Linked DNA regions of Callithrix jacchus. The protein of the gene in region 3 purifies or fractionates together with the protein of the main gene of each other region. This does not show direct contact. Links are inferred from orthologs where the notes say so. Each region holds a gene or a part of one and is shown on either strand. Other genes may lie near its edges.

Region 1 (3,515 bases), on a different chromosome or scaffold from region 3:
AGGATTTCAGTGTGTGTCACAAGCAGATTCTAATTGGAATTTTAAAATCTCCCAGCATGAGAGCTGTTTTTACCCTAAATGGAACTGGACAAGTTACCTTGGGGACACACAGGAGAAGCAGCTAACCCATGCTTGTGGGCTGTGAAAGACTTATCTGGGGAAATAGCCTTGACATTGAAACCTGAAGACTAAACAGCAGCCAGCCAGGTGAAGGGGACAGAAGTGAAGACAGACCATTCCTGGCTGAGGGACAATGAATGCCAAACCAGAGGTGCCTGGCGATATGGCTGTGAGGGAATGTGAGGAAAAGTAGCAAGAGATGAGGGAGCAGGAAGAGGCTTCAGGTTGGGTTACTGAGGCTTTCTAAGTCAGCAAGTTCAGAATTTATCCTGAGGGAAGTGGGGATAGCAGCAAAGGTCAGAAAGTGCATTGCAGAATCCATCTAAATGGCAATGGCTATAGCTCTTCCACACGAGAGAAGCTAGAAGGCGTAGAGGACTGACAGCTCCAGATTAGAAATTGATCCTGCAGAAAGGAGCCAGTGCTGCCCCGACCCTGCAGTCCATAGAGTGCAGAGAGCATCCGTCTCTAGATCCTGCTGCCCTTGGGAGGCAGAGCGAAGTTTCTGGCCTCCCTGTGCCCATGGTGGCATGTGGCCATCTTAGGTACCCAAGTTCACAGCTGACAAGGCTACCCAGGTAGCGTCTATTCATTTTCCATTGCTGTGAGAAAAGCTGGGATTACAGGCGTGAGCCACGTCATGATGATTATGTGAGGAATGGCACTGGGGAGATTCTAAAGTTAACATTAAAATCTCTTTCCTACCACTTGGTTGAAACTTTTTATGTTTTTTCTTTTTAAAAATAGGTCGTCTTATGCCACCTAAAAAAGTACATAAAGAACTCTTTAAAGACTGGAATGTTCCATTTAAGCAGCCGTCACATCCATCAGTGAAACGGTATAATCGGAATCGGACACTAACACAAAAGCTACGGATGGAGGAGCGATTTAAAAAGAAAGAAAGGTTACTCAGGAAGAAATTAGCTAGGAAGGGAATCAATTATGATTTTCCTTCTTTGGTAAATATGTCTTCATGAAATCTTTTTTTGTGATTTGTTGTGGGGAGGGGAGGGGGTGGCTTTGTATCTCGTAAAGTACCTAGCCTAGTACTTATCACAACCTTGGCTCACTGCAGCCTCTGCATCCTGGGTTCAAGCGATTTGCCTGCCTCTAGCCTCCCAAGTAGCTGGGATTACAGGTGCATACTACCACGCCCAGCTAATTTTTGTATTTTTAGAGATGGGGTTTCTCCATGTTGGCCAGGCTGGTCTCAAACTACTGACCTCAGGTGATCTGCCCACCTCAGCCTCCCAAAGTGCTGGGCTTACAGGTGTGAGCCACCATGTCCAGCCAGTTTTTTGACTGATTTTTTTTTTTTTGATACAGAGTCTTGCTCTTTTGCCCATTCTGGAGTGCAGTGGCACAATCTTGGTTCACTGCAACTTCCACCACCCAGGTTCAAGCAATTCTGCTGCCTTACCCTCCTGAGTCACTGAGAATACAGGTGTGCACCACCACACCAGGCTAATTTTTTGTATTTTTAGTAGAAATGGGGTTTCGCCATGTTGGTCAGTCTGGTCTCAAACTCCTAATCTCAGGTGAACATCCACCTCAGCCTCCAAAAGTGCTGGGATTACAGGCGAGAGTCACTGTGCCTGGCCTGACTAAACTTTTGAAACATTGTAGGTTCTTCCTAAAACATGAGAGCAGATTCTGTTATTTCCATTATACAGAAGAGGAATTGTCCTTTAAGTAGATAATCTGACTGAACCTTAGGCCCTGCTACTCTTGTGAACCCATCTGGGAACTGAGACGGTGAAGCTTGAAAAGGGGCATGCAAGCACTGCTTTCCCTGTGCTTTGCTTGTGACTTAGGGTGATGAGGGTGGCCTGCCTTTGCACATTCTTCCTGCTTCCACCCTCCTGAATTCAGGATTCTGTGAATCAGTGAGCTCCAGATTTGGGTCTTCCCTTCAACCTCTGCGTCTCTGTCCGTTCCTCAGCTGGGCTTCTCCTAGTTTTGCCCTTTACTTGAGATTATTCACTGTATTGAGTTTTGCTTTTTAAATTGAAATGCTCTGTCATTAGGGAGGATTTACTGATAATATATATGAGGATCTAATGCTAAGTTTAAAAAGAAAAGATATGAGACTGTTAATTTATAATTTCTTTATTGAAGATTTTACAGAAAACGGAAAGTATTTCAAAAACTAATCATCAGAAGTCTACAAAAGGCCAGGTAAAATGCTTTTTATCGTATGCCCAATATTAGAGAAAGATAAGTAGGAAAACATTTAAGACTACTATAACTGATCAATATTCAACCTGATGTGTCTTTTAACATTTATTTTAAGGGTTTACACAAGAAGAAGAAAAAGGTGGTCGGCACTCTTGACACTCCTGAGGAGACTGTGGACAGCCAGGTAAGATTGTCTTCCATATTCCGGACACCAGGTTTATACAAAGAATTTGAAGAAAGAAAGGCAGTTTCTGCCACTCTCGTATTAAGATTTCAAATTGAATATTGTCACATTTGGTAGATCTTTATTGTCGATTTAGCAATTTTCTGCGTAATACCTTATAATGGAACGTGCTATGTTCCAATTGCGAATTTCTGTACTAAGTTTGATAAGCATCTCAGTTCTTTATTCTTTACAATAGTATCACGAAAAGATTGAAACAGGACTAAAATAATGTGGTACAACTTGTAAAATAGAAGAGAGGTGATGTTTCGGGTACAGTGATAATCTTGTTCTTCATTTATGTATTATAATCTTTCCTTGTTGAATCTAGGGCCCCACACCAGTTTGTACACCAGCATTTTTGGAGAGACGAAAATCTGAAGTGACTGGAATGGATGAAGATGATAAAGATAATGAAATAGTTTTCAAACAGCCTGTATCCTGTGTAAAAGAAGAAGTACAAAAGACTCAAACACCTGCACGTTCACGGAAGAAAAGGCGAAGAAAAAGCAATCAGTGATTTTTAATGTATTATATTTTCTGAAAAATATAACATTTTTCTGAGGGTGGAGTTTGTATTTTACTAGGAACAATGATATGCAACCCCTGACAAGATTGTCAGAGGAAAAATACACTGTTTGGTCAAGTTAAGGAAAGCAGTCTGTAATTTTGGATTGCCTGCCCTTGGCTGAAATACAGGGGTGCAGACCGGTTTACACTGGCTTGGCTGACATTGTCTCTTTGTCCTGTTCTCTATTTTTCTTTTGACATTTCATAGCTCTCCTTAGTTACTCTGCCTGGATAGAAAGGTGACCACTAAGTGCAGGTTTAAGTACTGAACTGCAGCCTTTTCTGTCACCACCAGTTAAAGACCACCAATCTTGTTTGTCCGTCTGCATGATTTGTCAGGGACATTAACTCATGAGGGTGCTTTAGATTCCAACATCACATGGTTGAAGCTGGAAGTCAAATTTTATGTAGAGTGAGAAGGCAG
Region 2 (3,998 bases), on a different chromosome or scaffold from region 3:
CAACCTGGGCAATATGGCGAAATCCCATCTATACAAAAAATTAGCCAGGCGTGGTGGTGTGCACCTGTAGTCCCAGCTACTTGGGAGGTCAAGGCTGCAATGAGCTGAGATTGCTCCACTGCATTCTGCCTGGGCAACAGAGAGAAACTCCTAAAAAAAAAAAAAAAAAAAAAAAAGATCTGATGGAGATGAATTACTCTGTGGATGTTTGTTGGCTAGTTTTCTAGGAAGAGGAAATGGCCAATGCAAAAGCCCTCCAGTGAAGCCTGCTTTGGAAAAGCAGCAGAGCATCATCTGGCTGGAAAGCAAATAAGTCAGAGGGAAAACATCTGAGATAATTATAGAGGGCATGACGGGCAGATAGGTAGGGCCTTGTAGGTAGTTTAGATTTTAGGTTTTACTCTGTAGGAAACGGAAAGTTTTGAGAAGATAAGGAGATGAGCTGACTTAAGGGTTTTTTTAATTTTGTTTTGTTTTGTTTTGAGACGGAGTCTCTCTCTGTCGCCCAGGCTGGAGTGCAATGGCACGAGCTTGGCTCACTGCCAACTTCTGTATCCCGGGTTCAAGCGATTCTCCTGCCTCAGCCTCCCCAGTAGCTGGGATTACAGGCATGCGCCACCACAGCCGGCTAATTTTTGTATTTTTAGGACAGTCTGGGTCTCGCCATGTTGGCCAGGCTGGTCCTGAACTCCTGACCGTGTCAGGTGATCCACTGGCCTTGGCCTCCCAAAGTGCTGAGAGTACAGGCAGGAGCCACCGCGGCCGGCCAGGTTTTAAAAGTATCCCTCTGTTTTGGTAGGAGGAAAAACAAACTAGAGAAACCAAGAGACCATTCTGCTCTAAGCATTGCAATTATGTCTCAGCCCCATGTCACGCTGTTTAGTTTGCTGAGCTGGCCAGGTGGCAGAGCGAACTCCCAATTAGCTTACTCTAGCGCCTACAAGAAGGCAGCTCCAGCCCAGCAGGTGGCAGCAGCTCAGAGCAAGCGCCTCCAACGCCAGGCAGCTCCTTCCTTCACGATCCTACTTAAAGGCGGCTTCCGTTAACTGAAGTGGCAGCAATATTATCCAATGGCTGCTTGTATTCGTTCGGCTTTGTCGAACGAGCGATGTCGCCAGCCAATAAGTGGGGGCGTTTATCCGCGGTTTCTGATTGGCTACTTTGTTCGCATATAAAATGAACGCTCTAGCCTGCGGCCCTTCTCTCGCCAGGCGTCCTCGTGGAAGGTTTGTGCGTCAAGCCGATCGGCGCCAGGGGCCAGAGGCGGGAAGCTTGGAGGGATCTTTGGGGGCCTTTTGGGAACATGGAGTCCTCTCCTGCTCCCCCTGGGGCCTCGGTGATGGCTCGCACTCCCCGAGGTGGCAGCGGCTGCCCCAGGCCGGGCCGCCGGGCGCTTGCGCGTGTCCTGCTCCATATAGGTCTGGGACCGGGGGATGGGTGCCGGGGTGACCAGGCCTGAGCTCCCTATCTCTCCTCAGTGACAGCGTCTTTAAACCCTGCGTGGCAATCCCTGACGCACCGCCGTGATGCCCAGGGAAGACAGGGCGACCTGGAAGTCCAACTACTTCTTGAAGATCATCGTAAGTGTGGGCTGGGTCGCCGCTGCCCTTCATGTTTCCCCAGCTCAGATAGGGACAGTCGGCTGCTAAGTGCTGAGGGTCTCCTCAGTTCCGGCTCCTGAATCAGGCCATTTTCAGGAAAATCCTGTTTAATTAACAATTCCCTGAGATAGGTCGCCTCTGTTGCAGATAAACAGGCTCAGGCAGGTGGCTAAGATGACAGCATTCATATCCAAGTCTGTTTGGCTTCCAAAAGAGTGCACATTATGCTTGCTTTTTTATTTTTTTGAGACAGAATCTCTGTCGCAAGGCTGGAGTGCAGTGGCGCGATCTCGGCTCACTGCAACCTTCGCCTCCCTGGTTCAAGCGATTATCTTGCCTCAGCCTCCCGAGTAGCTGGGACTACAGGTGCCCGCCACCACGCCCTCCTAATTTTTGTATTTTTAGTACAGAAGGGATTTCGCCATGTTGGCCAGGATGGTCTCGATCTCTTGACCTCGTCATGTGCCCGCCTAAGCCTCCCAAAGTGTTTGGATTACAGGTGTGAGCACTTTTACTCCATCTTTGAGAAGGTCTGAGGTCAGGAATGACTCATTGTAAGGAAGCAAGTTGTTGCATATTTAGGACCTGTCATTCAGGAAACTGAAGTGTCCAGTGACTCTTCTTTTGGATGGCCTTTTGGGTGGGTCCCCCTTGCCCAGAAACACTGACCATACTGCACTTAAGCAATTAGGCAGCATTGTAAAGCATAGCTTGTATTACATTCTCCAATACTTCGAAGGTTTTCAGACACAAAACCCAAAAGAACTGTACAAAAATCCAATTATCCACACCCAGATTTTTTTTTACAAGTAATATGTTGCATATTTGCTTGTGTTGTGTTTTGAAAGCTGTGAATCTACCCGTCCTCTCGACCAGCTTATTTGGAATAGTCCTTTTTTATCCTTTTTTTTTTTTTTTTTAAAGACGGGGTTTCACCATGTTGGTCAGGCCGGTCTTGAACTCTGGACCTCAGGTGATCTGCCCACCTTGGCCTCCAAAGTGCTTTTTTATCCTCTTATAACCATTTTCGTGAATCAAACATGCCTCATAATTGGGAATAGTTAAAAACTAAGAAATTAAAGGAGAAACTCCTTGATTGAATGTAGAAACCTAATTTTCACCGTTTCTACCCAGCAATCGTCATCCAGTTTGGCAGTGTTACAACGTAGCTCCTAGTGGGAAGAATGGCCCCAATCTCCCTTTTGCTTCAAAAGCCTATCAGAAAGGGAGTGAGATGGAAACAAATTGTGGCGTTTTTCAGTTTCTCCTGGCATTTTTCCCCCCTCTTTCTTCCTGTTAAACTTGGCTTTTCTCTGGCTTTTTTTGTAGCAACTATTGGATGATTATCCGAAATGCTTCATCGTGGGAGCAGACAATGTGGGCTCCAAGCAGATGCAGCAGATCCGCATGTCCCTCCGCGGGAAGGCCGTGGTGCTGATGGGCAAGAACACCATGATGCGCAAGGCCATCCGAGGGCACCTGGAAAACAACCCAGCTCTGGAGAAGTCAGTCAGTTCCCGGGGCAGCTTCGTCCTCCCTCCTCCGTGCGAGTCTCCCTCTTTCTGGAAAATGGTGCTGAAAGGTGATTGTTTTCCGTAAACTTCTCTTTGCAGACTCCTGCCTCATATCCGGGGGAATGTGGGCTTTGTGTTCACCAAGGAGGACCTCACTGAGATCAGGGACATGCTGCTGGCCAATAAGGTAAGGGGACAACTGGACTGGCTAAAGAGGCTTTTATCTTTGCTCCTTAAAGCAAAACGGACGATTCTCAGTGGAGACACTTTTCTCACTGTTGTCTTTGTTCAGGTCCCAGCTGCTGCCCGTGCTGGTGCCATCGCCCCATGTGAAGTCACTGTGCCAGCCCAGAACACCGGTCTGGGGCCAGAGAAGACCTCCTTTTTCCAGGCTTTAGGTATCACCACCAAAATCTCCAGGGGCACCATTGAAATCCTGGTGAGTGGACCTGGTTTGCCTGTGCTAGCCAGCCAAATGGGGGGCTTTTTAGTGGCCATGGGTCTGCTGGATGTTCAGGTGTTAACTGCCCCCATTTCTTGTTCAGAGTGATGTGCAGCTGATCAAGACTGGAGACAAAGTGGGAGCCAGTGAAGCCACGCTGCTGAACATGCTCAACATCTCTCCCTTCTCCTTTGGGCTGGTCATCCAGCAGGTGTTCGACAATGGCAGCATCTACAACCCCGAAGTGCTTGACATCACAGAGGAAACTCTGCACTCCCGCTTCCTGGAGGTATATGCTCTCAGCCTGGCCCCCTCTTACACTGATGGTTAAGAGCATGACAAGTGCTGGGCACGGTGGCTCAAGCCTATAATCCCAGCACTTTGGGAGGCCGAGGAGGGTGGATCACGAGGTGAAGAGATCGAGACCATCCTGGTCAACAA
Region 3 (3,515 bases):
TTGTAAAATATTTAATATTTCTCGTGTTTTAAACAGCAGTGAGTACCTATTTAGGGTTCTTATTAAGATAAGTTACTAGGTATAAAGAGCTTAAGAAGGAACCTGGCACATTGTAAGCACTTACTCACGTTAACTGCCATTGATAGTAGCAATAATATCAGTGTGTGCGTCTAGTGAATATCAGCATAGAGTTGTGGTTAGGAGTATGGGCACCTGAGCCAGACTGCCAGGGTTCTAATCCGCAGACTACTGCTTCGTAGTTGGTTAGCTTTAGGCAGTTATTTAGTACCTCTGGTTTCCATGTCATTGTTTGTAAACTGGAAGTAGCAATGCTAGCTACCCCATAGGGTTATCCTGAAAATTAAATTGAGCTGATGCTGATGAAGCCGGTAGCACAGTGTAAACACTCAATAAATGGTAGGTATTATGGCATTATTATTTTTTCGCTTTAATTCCTCTTTGTGCTTTTAAAAATCTTTTAGGCTGCTGTTTCAGTGAAAAAACAAACTCAAAGTGCTTTTTCCCATTCTCTCACTTCACAACAACAATCAACACAGAAGACTTCTGTAACCAAATGTGTGGTAGTTTTCACCACATATCAAGCAGTAGACACCAGCTGGGTGTCCTCTAATTCAGTTTCATTTTCTGATGCTGTCTTCCTGGAGATAGTCTCAGATCCCACAAGATGTCCCTCCTTCTCACGACCAGCCAATAAGTCCGGACCTCTAGAACCTCTGACCAACCAGCTTCAAGTTGGGGTTCCCATGACCCCTCTCTTTGGGTTCAATTAATTTGCTATGGCAGCTCTCAGGACTAAAAGAAACACATTTACCAGTTTATTATAGAGGATATTACGAAGAATATAGATGGGGAGCTGTATAGGCTGAGGGTACGCCATGCCTGTCCTGAGTATACCACCCTCCAAGAACCTCCACATACTAAGTTTATTCAAAAGTTCTCCAAACCCTGTCCTTTGGGGCTATTAATGGAGACTTCATTAAGATGATAAATTAAACCATTGGCCTTTGGGAAGGAAGGCTGAAAGTCCCAACCTTCTAATCCTGCCTTGGCCTTTCTGGTGACCAGCCCCCATCCTGAAGCTACCTAGGGGGCTATCAGCCATCAGTCAGTAGTTTGTCATTAGCATACAAAAAGACATTACTTTGGAGATTCCTTTGCCAGGAAACAGGGATGAAGAGTAAATATATATTCCAGGGTATCACAGGTGCCAATTTTGGTTTAGCAAGTCTCTATATACTCTACCCTTTTTGGGGGAAGTAGCTGGGTCAACCTTTGTGGAGTCAAGATGAATCAAATGCAGTCCCAGCCCCTAAGAAGTATTGGATCCAGCAGAGGAGGTGAGATGACCACAGCCATAATTTAAGGTAGAAGTTATTAGAAAATTACAAAATACAATGGAAGAGAGAGGTAACTTCTGGTTTGGGAGTCTGGAAAGTACTTTCTAAAAAGATGCCTGGCATTTAAGGTGGAGAGGATTTGGACATGTAGAGGCAGAAAAAGAAGGAGCAAAGAAATGGGCAATGTTCAAGGGCACTTGGCTTAGAGTGGTAAGAGGAGATGTGTTGGGAAAGGAGTAGTTGCTGAGGCTGGTGGGGTAAGTTGGGGGCAAGTTGCTGAAGGCCCTGAGTGTCAAGTTGAAGACACTCTAAGACACTTTTATCCTCTAAACAAAGAATGGCAAATAAATCTCATTTCTAGAACTCTTATGAACGGTTCATAAAGTACTGCTTAAAGTACTATATCGGAAAAGATACCTAGATGTTATCTGGGTCCAGTGGAGAAGACTGTTGTGCTTGATTAATGCTGTGTGCCAGAGGCTCAGTGAATGTCAGTAACCATGCCACGTTACCTATGGCTAATATATATATTGGATTAGTATAACCCAGTGATTAACATGGTCTGTGGAGCTGGGCTGCTTCACTTTAAATCCTGGATAATAAGTGACTGCTGTGGTCTGGCTGCATGGTCCTGAGGACCTGAACCAGCAGGAGCATGGGAGAGGAGAGCCTGCACAGTGAATGGGCTAAACCTGGGAATATTTTGAATGTGGGATTAAGAGAGGAGGGTTAGATTGCTTTACAATGCTGCAGAGGTTTCTACCTGCCTGGCTGGGAGGGAGGAGGGTCCAGCTTGGGGATGTGGCCCTGAGGAAAGGACCAGTGTTTGGCAGTGGCCATGTTTTGATCTCCCAGTTCTTCCTGTGGCAGGTCCCACGTACCTCAGAGATATATGTACACCGAAGTGGTCGAACTGCTCGAGCTACCAACGAAGGCCTCAGCCTGATGTTGATTGGGCCTGAGGATGTGATCAACTTTAAGAAGATTTACAAAACCCTCAAGAAAGATGAAGACATCCCACTATTCCCCGTGCAGACAAAATACATGGACGTGGTCAAGGTAGAGAGCAAAGTTAAAAGCCCAGTGCTAATGAAGGGATTGTGCTGCTCCCTCACAGAGCACCTCACTGTGGGGCTCTGGCAGCATAACCCTTGAAAACTAAGGAATGGTTCTGCCAATGGCTGAACAAAGAGACTTGTAGAAAGGATTGAGAGCAACATGCCTGGGAAAAGGGAGAAAAGGGGAGTGACTGAAGGTGTGAGGCATTTTCTCCCTGAACCATTTCTTCCTTGTCTGGCCATGAAGTTCCCCCTCCTCACTGGACAGTGCAGTGGTTGGCTGCCTGGACATTCTCTCAGAGGGTTGTAGACAGTGTGGTTAGTTTTCTTGCTGAGGTGGATGCTACAGGTTTGGCACATCCCTGAAGCAGGTGCCAGTAAATTCTGTCTTTGGGGTTTTATTTTAACTCAGGCATTAACCAGGTGAGTGCTGCTTATTGAGGGACACTGTGTTAGGGACCAAAGTGGGATGGGTTCTCCTCCCAGAGGTTTGCCAGCTGTGAATATTAAGTTCAGTTACAATGGAGCCATGTGGAATCACTGGGCATGTGGTTATATTGGGAGGAGAAGATGTTCTCTCCAAGCTTCCTGAAGGCAAATATGTGGAAGGGTACAGAGGAGATGGAATACCAGGAATTGAGGGGGCAAAAGCATGGAACAATTCAAGGACTGTTGGCTTCTCTCGAAAGAAATATTAGCTGTGTGGGGAAATAGGGTGGAGATAAGGATGGAAAGGTGGAAATCATAAGAGAATTCCCATTAGTAAGCAGGGTTAGGAGCTACCCAGACTTCCCACGGTTCCTTTCCCCACATTACAAGATCTTTCTCATTTTCTCAGGACATCTTGCCACTGCATTGTAGCCCTAAAACCCCCTCGAGGGAGAATTGAAATGTTTTTTTTCTTAGCTCAGCTATAGAAGCCAGCTGTTGTAAGACTTCACTTTGGTTACCTATAGGCTGGCAGTCAAACCAGTAAGGGTTTTCAAAGGATGTGGCTGTTAGGTTGATTGTTGGGAATGTTGGCGGTTGTGCTTACATGTGTACACACAGATTTACACAGGGTAATGGTTGCCCACTGGGCTTTATCAGGAAACAAAGC
Region 4 (4,114 bases), on a different chromosome or scaffold from region 3:
AGGAGGCTGAGGCAGGAGAATTGTCTGAACCCGGAGGCGGAGGTTGCGGTGAGCCAAGATCATCATGGCACTCCAGCCTGGATAACAAGAGTGAAACTCCATCTCAAAAAAAAAATCACTGATAATTCTAGGTTTTCCTAAGTGTTTTCAGTGCCTTATTTCCATATGCCTTTCATCATAACTATAGAAGTTAGAACGAATCTGTATTATTATTACCATTTTATAGAAGACAGTCTGAAAGGCTAAGTGACTTGCCTAAGCGAACACAAAGCTGACTCAGCCTGGGACTCCTTTCACTAAAAGAAAATGCCTCCTAAGGGTCATAAATTATCTCCTGAATCATTGATTTTTAAAAGTCCTGGTCCTGAATTTTAAGAACCCCTGAAATTCAACAGCTATACTCTAATTCAGTTATACTCAAAGGTATGATCTACAGACTTGCAGTATCAGCATAAACTCTAAGTCTGTAAGAAATGCAATTCTTGGGCCCCACCCCAGACCTACTGAATCACAATTTCTGGGATGAGGGACAGAAGTCTGTTTTACCATGCTCAACAGGAGACTCTGAAGTACAGTAAGTCTGAAAAGCAGGTCATTAGTCTATTTATCAACCTCAAACAGCTTAACTTTCTGCATATACTCACATCCACTTAGCTATTTCTGGTTCAAATCACAGACAATTGGCTAGTCTTCATATACCATTCACTCTCCAATATCCTTTAAAGAACTCATTCTACAAAAGTGACTTATATTTAGTGTGTGTGTGTGTGTGTGTGTGTGTGTGTGTGTGTATTCTGGAGACAGGGCCTGACTCTGTCACCCAGCCTAGACCTCTTGGACTCAAGCAATCTGATCCTCTTGCCTCAGCCTCATAACTAGCTGGTTCTACAGGCATGTGCCTCCATGCCCAGCTAATTTTTGTATATATATATATATTTTTTTGTAGAGAAATGGTTTGCCATGCTGCCCAGGCTGGTCTCTTGGGCTCAAGCAATCCGCCCACCTCAGCTTTCCAAAGTGCTGGGATTACAGGCATGAGCCACTGCAACTAGTTACTTACAATGCTTACCTGACCAAGTCCCTATCCAATTTAAAATCTTCAAAGGCTATGTATCAGTTTTTTTTAAAACTCCCCACTCCAAAATCAGAAAAAAACTGACAAATGAAATAAACAGGAAGTTTCACAATTAAGAAAGTACAATTAGCCCCCAAACACGTGAAAAGATATGCAACCTCACAGGTGATCACAAAATGCAAATTAAAACTACAACCAGATACCATTTCATACCTACCAAAATTAGAGAAATTCAAAATTCGGATAATATCACGTATTCGTACGAATGGAAGGCAATGAGAACTTTCATTCACTGCTAGTAGGGACAAAACTGACACAACCCCTTTGGAAAAAAAAGTTAGCATTACTTACACACAACCTACACTTCAGTGATTGCAATCCTATGTTCATAACCTAGAGAAACCCTTGCTAACCAGAAGACATGTACCACGATGTTTTAGCAGTATTGTTTATAATTGTAAGCAATGTGAACAATCCAAATGTCCACCAACGGTAAAATGAAAAAATAAATTGGGGTATATTCATTCAAGGAAACACCATGTAACAGTGAAAAGACTAAAACTACACCTACGGGTATTACCCTGTTTGAAAAACAGAAAGCTAAACCTTAGAAGACACAGAAAAATGCATACAGTCCACTTTGATGTATAAAATTGAAAATGACGCAAAATTAAGCCACTTCGTGACTACAAGAAGAGGAAAAGAAAATAATACAATTCAGAGTGGTTACTTCTGAATCTGGAAAAGAGAATATGATCTGAGAGGTGTACATAAGGGTTTGAGGGGTATAGTAATGCTTGCTCTATTCTACTTAGTAGTCTGAATGCTAGGTTCTTGCATGTTTTTATTATTTAAACTGTATATAAGTTGTAACCTCTGCTATTTACATTACATAACCACTTAATGAGCCACAACAAAAAAACCTTTACTACTTTCCCAATGTATCTAAATTGAGAGTTCGATGTTTTTAACACTTCCTATAGCCTGGTTGAGCAGGTCCCCAGGCTATTTCTCTGACTATCTCTGTCACTCATACTGAAGAAAATGGGTAAAACCAGACTATAACGCAGGAGTTAATTGAAAGGTAGCACAATCTAAAGAGTAAGAACTGTGTCGTCTAATATTTTAGCAATATGACACAGGAATAATTGATAAATCTATTAAAATTTCTTTACTGACAAACTAAAGCTAAGGGCATGTCAGCTCCTTTCCCCACATCTCACTCCATTATCAGGGTCCACACCTGTATGTCATGACTACCTATTTCCACCTCACCCTATTTCTCATTCCGTCAGTGACTTTCGGCCACCCGCGCGCTACCAGGTTCCGCAGCGCCCTGGACATTTTCTCAACCCTCATCCTTTTACAGAATACGCATTCCGCAAGAGCTTCGCTTGGGGGACCCTTCAGCAAAAGAAATAGTTAGGAACACGTGGGTGACACCATATCGGCTAGTCGTTCCGGTGGGCCCGGCTAACAATCTTAATCATCAGCAATTCCGGTACTTAACTACAAAGAACAGGCTCCAGGTGGTTTTATAAGTCAACAAACAACGAAAGAAACATCGCAACTCAACGTCCACAAACCCCAGGCTTCGGTTCCCACATAACATCACCTTGGTTATCCGGCTTCAGCTTCTGGTTACGAAATTCACTTTTTCCAGCAGCTTTTTCTGGCCGCTCCAGCGAGGAAGACGCCATTTTAAAGCTGCTTCCGGTGGCGCCGGATGTGTAACTGTTTTTAAGTCCTACGTGCTAAAATACCCACACTCAAAATGAGTTCCTCGGAACTCAGACGAGGAGACCTGCGCAGTCTCCGTGCGTACGTGCGTTAAGGCCCGCGTTTTTGCCCAACCCACAGCTTCTCCTACTTGGCCAATTGAAGAGCCGGAAACCTTCTCCCAGGATGCACTGCAACCATGGAGTTTGCGTACTGGGAATTGTAGTTTAGCAAGCGGTGCAGGCAAATTGGATAGTAATCCGTAGTTTCCTCGGCCTCACGTTGTAACCTGGACCACCGGACTGCGGAGTGCTACCAGGCTGTCATGGAAGTCGTTTATTCTTTTGATGAATATTTAGATGATGGCCAAATATGCACTAGATATCGGGAGGAAATAAAAATACGAGAATATAATTTATATGGGTCTCACTGCAGGAAGTGACAGGAATAGCTACTATTTATTGTGAAAAATATGTTGGCTTTACAAGAGGAAATAGTACCTATATATACTTACTAAAAATTAAAATTGACAGTCAAATTAAATGAGAACAATATTTCAACAATTTGCTTAGACTATGTTTTAAGCAATTTCGAAGAAAACTTTTAAAAATAAATATGGTATGGAATAAATAAATTCGACTAGTTCTAAGAATTAAACATTGCAATCAATATTACATATGAAAGTTTTAAACTTTTAAAACCTCTAAACAATAGTTTCCACGTGTGAGAACTGTGTGCTCTAGATTCCTTTTTTTGGAAAAGGACAGATGATCTAATTTCAACATCTTTCAAAAATGCATTAGAATTGAAAGAACGATTTCAAATAAATATTGACTAATAACTAAATATCATATTTATTGAATACATATTGAAAATAAATATTGAAAAATCTCTTAAAATCATCTTAGAAGACTAGAAACTCAATAGTGATGATCAAAATGATGGTGTCCAAATTTTCATCTCAATTTCAGTGACTCACTGATTCAAAATAATAATTTAAAATTTAAAATGATGAGAAATAGTGTAAGAAAAATAAAAGATATAATAGAGATGGGGAAAATATTCACAAAACATTTAATGGGTTGATTACAATAATATTCAAGGTGATAAAAAGATGTAAGCAATTCAATAGAAAAATAAGGAAAACATATTAGTAGATATTTGTGATGGTTAATTTTTATTGTCAACTTCACTGGGTAATGTTATCCAGATATTTGATCGAACATTTTTATGGATGTTTCTGTGGGAGTGCTTTTGGATGAGATTAACATTCAAATCAGTGAACTCTGAGTAAGGCAGATTTTCCTCTATACTGTGGGT
Region 5 (3,515 bases), on a different chromosome or scaffold from region 3:
CAGGAGTAGCGGCACATACCTGTAGTCCTAGCTACTTCAGCGACTGAGGCAGGAGAATTGCTTGTGTCCAGGAGTTCAAGGCTGCAGTGAGGTATGATTCTGCCACTGTTCTCCACCCTGTCTCAAAAAAAAAAAAAGCACTAAGCAAAAAAAATTTTTAACTGTATATAACTGAAGATCATATTCATGATCTTGATTGTGAATATCTTGTTTTATTTGTCCGTTCTGTTGATGGACATTTGTGTGAGTCCTGCTATTCTTTTGCCGTGGGCATTCCTGGAAATGCATCCTGGTGCACACGGACACGTGTTTTAGTTTCTTGCCAGAGTGGTATTGCTGGGTACAAGGCTGTTTAACCTTCTAAGCTTCATTGCTCTGATTCCTGCTTTTGTTTTTCCACCACAGGTTTCAGTTCCCGTGGGGGTGGCTTTGGCGGCCGAGGGGGCTTTGGTGACCGTGGTGGTCGTGGAGGCCGAGGGGGCTATGGTGGGGGCCGAGGTCGAGGTGGAGGCTTTAGGGGTCGTGGACGAGGAGGAGGAGGAGGTGGCGGCGGTGGCGGTGGCGGTGGTGGCGGCGGCGGCGGAGGAGGAAGAGGAAGAGGTGGTGAGTAAGGTTGGCGAGGGGTTATGGAGGAGGCCTTCCTGGGGCCGGGAGTGGGGAGGACAGAGATGCAGGGTCTTCCTCTCCTGTTGTGCCTCACCTTTATAGGTGGAGGCTACCATTCTGGTGGCAACCGGGGTCGTGGTCGGGGAGGAAAAAAAGGAAACCAGTCGGGGAAGAACGTGATGGTAGAGCCACATCGGCATGAGGGTGAGTGAGGAAGCCCAGAGCCGGCTGAGCTTCGGGGCAGGAAGGGGCCGGGGGTCCTCAGGCCTGCTCTGATCCCCTCAACCAGGTGTCTTCATTTGTCGAGGAAAGGAAGATGCACTGGTCACCAAGAACCTGGTCCCTGGGGAATCAGTTTATGGAGAGAAGAGAGTCTCGATTCCGGTGAGACCTGGGATCCTGTCCAAGCCCCCAGGGGCACAGCTGAGGGTGTAGCCAGTAGTCTGGTGTGTCTGCCTTCACCCTGTGTCCTGCACATGACAGCTGGAGGACCATCATAATATGTAAACCACACTGTCTGCTCCCTTCCTCACCCGCCTTCTGTGACCCCCCACTGCCTTCAGGTTACAGTCCTGACTTCTTCACTGTGGCCTCCAAGGCCCTGCACATTCTAGTTCCCCCTCCCTGCTCCCTGGCCCTGTCTACTCCTGTCCCCCTGACCAGGTGCCCTTCAGCCACCCTGGCCTTGCTGTTCCCACTCCAGCTCTGTGGAGGCTGCTTTCTTATCATCTGCTTCTCCAGGCTGCCTCACACCACCCTGTGTGTTGAGGCAGCCCTCACCATGCTGCCCTGTCCTGTTACCCCATGTCATTTTCTTTGAGGCCAGGGGCCTTTCCTAATGGCTTTACCTCTCCTGGGAATGTCCTTCCTCAGATAACTCGAATGGTCCTTTGTCTCCTTTGGTGGTCTGATTCGGAATCTGCCTTTCACTCCGTCCCTGGTCCCCTTTCTCACTTTCACCTGCTCCTTGCCCTGCTTTCCAAACTTTGTATCTTCTTTCCTGGCTTCGTCTTCTCTCCTTGACACCTGTCACCATCTCATATGCCATGTTACCTTTAGTTAGTTTGGTGAATACTCATGCCTTCTGAGCAGGGATCCTTGTCTTGTATCCCCAGGGCCTAGAGCAGGGTCTGGCCCACAGTGGGTGCTGGCACGGTGCATTTGTTGAACGAGTGCTGCTTTTACTGTTACTCTGTGTGTATTCTGTTGCTGCCCCTTGAGTCAGTGACCTCCATGAGAGCAGCGACTGCATGTGTCATGGTCACTGCTCTGTATGCATGTGGGGTTCTTGTGCAGTGATAGAACGGCCCAGTTCCTTTCAAGGGCCTCGGGGTTAAGGGCAGGGAGGTCTTGCAGAAGAGTCTAGCACTGACTTTCATCCCCATCTCTCTTGGTCTAGGAAGGAGACGACAAGGTCGAGTACAGAGCCTGGAACCCCTTCCGCTCCAAGCTGGCAGCAGCAATCCTGGGTGGTGTGGACCAAATCCACATCAAACCGGGGGCCAAGGTGCTCTACCTCGGGGCTGCCTCGGGCACCACTGTCTCCCATGTCTCTGACATCGTCGGTCCGGTGAGTGGGTGGATAGAGAGTCGGGCAGGAGGCAAAGGCTGCCTCCCCTCTGCCAACCTAGAATATCAAGGTTTGACTGTTTGCCCGTACTGTGTGACTTAGGGCAAGGCCCTTTTCTCTCACAGCGCCTTCGAGTAAAAGGAGCAGCTTGAACCCGATAGTGTCATTCAACCTTGCTCCTGGGTTCTTGGCCTCAAGGCAAGAGATGTGGGTGTGGGGTAGCCAACCTTAGAGAGACAGCTGGAAGTATAGATACCAGACTATTTGATTTGATGGCCCTCTTTAAAATGTGATGCCCCTAAAACCTGCTCTTTTGGTTTCTTTAGAAAGAACCAGGAGATCTCATGGTTTCTGAGCCTGCATTTCTGTGTGGTTGTATAATAGGCTTCCCATTTAAAGGGCCCCCGGCACCTGCATGTCACACTCTGGTACCCTTTGTTACATGTTTATAAGCTGTTGAGTGTAGTGCCTTAAAACCCTGGGCTTTGGCCAGGCGAGGTGGCTCATGCCTGTAACCCCAACACTTCGGGAGGCTGAGGCAGGTAGATCACTTGAGGTCAGGAGTTCGAGACCAGCCTGACCAATAGAGTAAAACCCCGTCTCTGCTGAAAATATAAAAATTAGCTGGGCATGGTGGCGTGTGCCTGTAATCCCAGCTACTCGAGAGGCTGAGACAGGAGAATTGATTGAACTTGGGAGGCAAGGTTGCAGTAAGCCAATATTGCGCCACTGCACTCCAGGCTAGGTGACAGAGCAAGACTCTGTCTCAAAAAAAAAAAAAAAAACCCTCAGGCTTTAATCAGGAAAGTTACCTAACCCATCCAAGCCTCAGTTTACCTCTCTGGAACATAGACTTGTGAAAATTATATGAGTTAATTTCCATAAGGAGCTTAAAGCAGTGGTTGACTTGTTACTTCATCTCTGTGCCTCCTGGTTTTAACCCTTTGTTGGGAGCCTAGGCTCTCAGATCAGGCAAATGGATTGGGTACTATTGCTACCTGATGAATAACCCTTGGCCAGTGACTTTATGTCTCTGGACCTCAGTTTATTCATGTGTAAAAAGGACATGATAACAATAGTGGTAGAGTTTTGATTTTGGGGTGGGAAGAGATGCTACACATAGTGTATGGGCCTAAAGTAGGCACTCCATACATGAAAACTAGCATCATGATTGTTCTTTAATTTTTAATTGATTTTAGGATGGTCTCGTCTATGCAGTTGAGTTCTCCCACCGCTCTGGCCGTGACCTCATTAACTTGGCCAAGAAGAGGACCAACATTATTCCTGTGATTGAGGATGCTCGGCACCCACACAAATACCGCATGCTCATCGGTGAGCG

The links.
Region 1: the proteins of DDX24 (region 3) and NIFK purify together in Homo sapiens (affinity purification with mass spectrometry; 3 studies listed by BioGRID and IntAct, counting the BioPlex papers as one, with this or other methods). This does not show direct contact. The link is inferred for Callithrix jacchus from reciprocal best matches to the Homo sapiens genes DDX24 and NIFK.
Region 2: the proteins of DDX24 (region 3) and RPLP0 purify together in Homo sapiens (affinity purification with mass spectrometry; 3 studies listed by BioGRID and IntAct, with this or other methods). This does not show direct contact. The link is inferred for Callithrix jacchus from reciprocal best matches to the Homo sapiens genes DDX24 and RPLP0.
Region 4: the proteins of DDX24 (region 3) and KRR1 purify together in Homo sapiens (affinity purification with mass spectrometry; 3 studies listed by BioGRID and IntAct, with this or other methods). This does not show direct contact. The link is inferred for Callithrix jacchus from reciprocal best matches to the Homo sapiens genes DDX24 and KRR1.
Region 5: the proteins of DDX24 (region 3) and FBL purify together in Homo sapiens (affinity purification with mass spectrometry; 3 studies listed by BioGRID and IntAct, with this or other methods). This does not show direct contact. The link is inferred for Callithrix jacchus from reciprocal best matches to the Homo sapiens genes DDX24 and FBL.

What each region holds. Positions count from the first base shown.
Region 1 is NC_133507.1:106,278,391-106,281,905, reverse strand, and holds part of NIFK (MKI67 FHA domain-interacting nucleolar phosphoprotein), read left to right. Parts: intron 1-867; coding exon 868-1,079; intron 1,080-2,238; coding exon 2,239-2,298; intron 2,299-2,413; coding exon 2,414-2,482; intron 2,483-2,852; coding exon 2,853-3,041; 3' UTR 3,042-3,515.
Region 2 is NC_133510.1:123,328,281-123,332,278, reverse strand, and holds the start of RPLP0 (large ribosomal subunit protein uL10), read left to right. Parts: upstream 1-1,197; 5' UTR 1,198-1,230; intron 1,231-1,478; 5' UTR 1,479-1,526; coding exon 1,527-1,580; intron 1,581-2,930; coding exon 2,931-3,106; intron 3,107-3,214; coding exon 3,215-3,302; intron 3,303-3,407; coding exon 3,408-3,554; intron 3,555-3,660; coding exon 3,661-3,846; intron 3,847-3,998.
Region 3 is NC_133509.1:128,875,612-128,879,126, reverse strand, and holds part of DDX24 (ATP-dependent RNA helicase DDX24), read left to right. Parts: intron 1-2,228; coding exon 2,229-2,417; intron 2,418-3,515. UniProt on the Homo sapiens protein: ATP-dependent RNA helicase that plays a role in various aspects of RNA metabolism including pre-mRNA splicing and is thereby involved in different biological processes such as cell cycle regulation or innate immunity.
Region 4 is NC_133510.1:78,158,890-78,163,003, forward strand, and holds the start of KRR1 (KRR1 small subunit processome component homolog), read right to left. Parts: upstream 2,812-4,114; 5' UTR 2,776-2,811; coding exon 2,691-2,775; intron 1-2,690. UniProt on the Homo sapiens protein: Part of the small subunit (SSU) processome, first precursor of the small eukaryotic ribosomal subunit.
Region 5 is NC_133523.1:35,090,766-35,094,280, forward strand, and holds part of FBL (rRNA 2'-O-methyltransferase fibrillarin), read left to right. Parts: intron 1-405; coding exon 406-603; intron 604-708; coding exon 709-810; intron 811-895; coding exon 896-990; intron 991-2,005; coding exon 2,006-2,176; intron 2,177-3,375; coding exon 3,376-3,508; intron 3,509-3,515.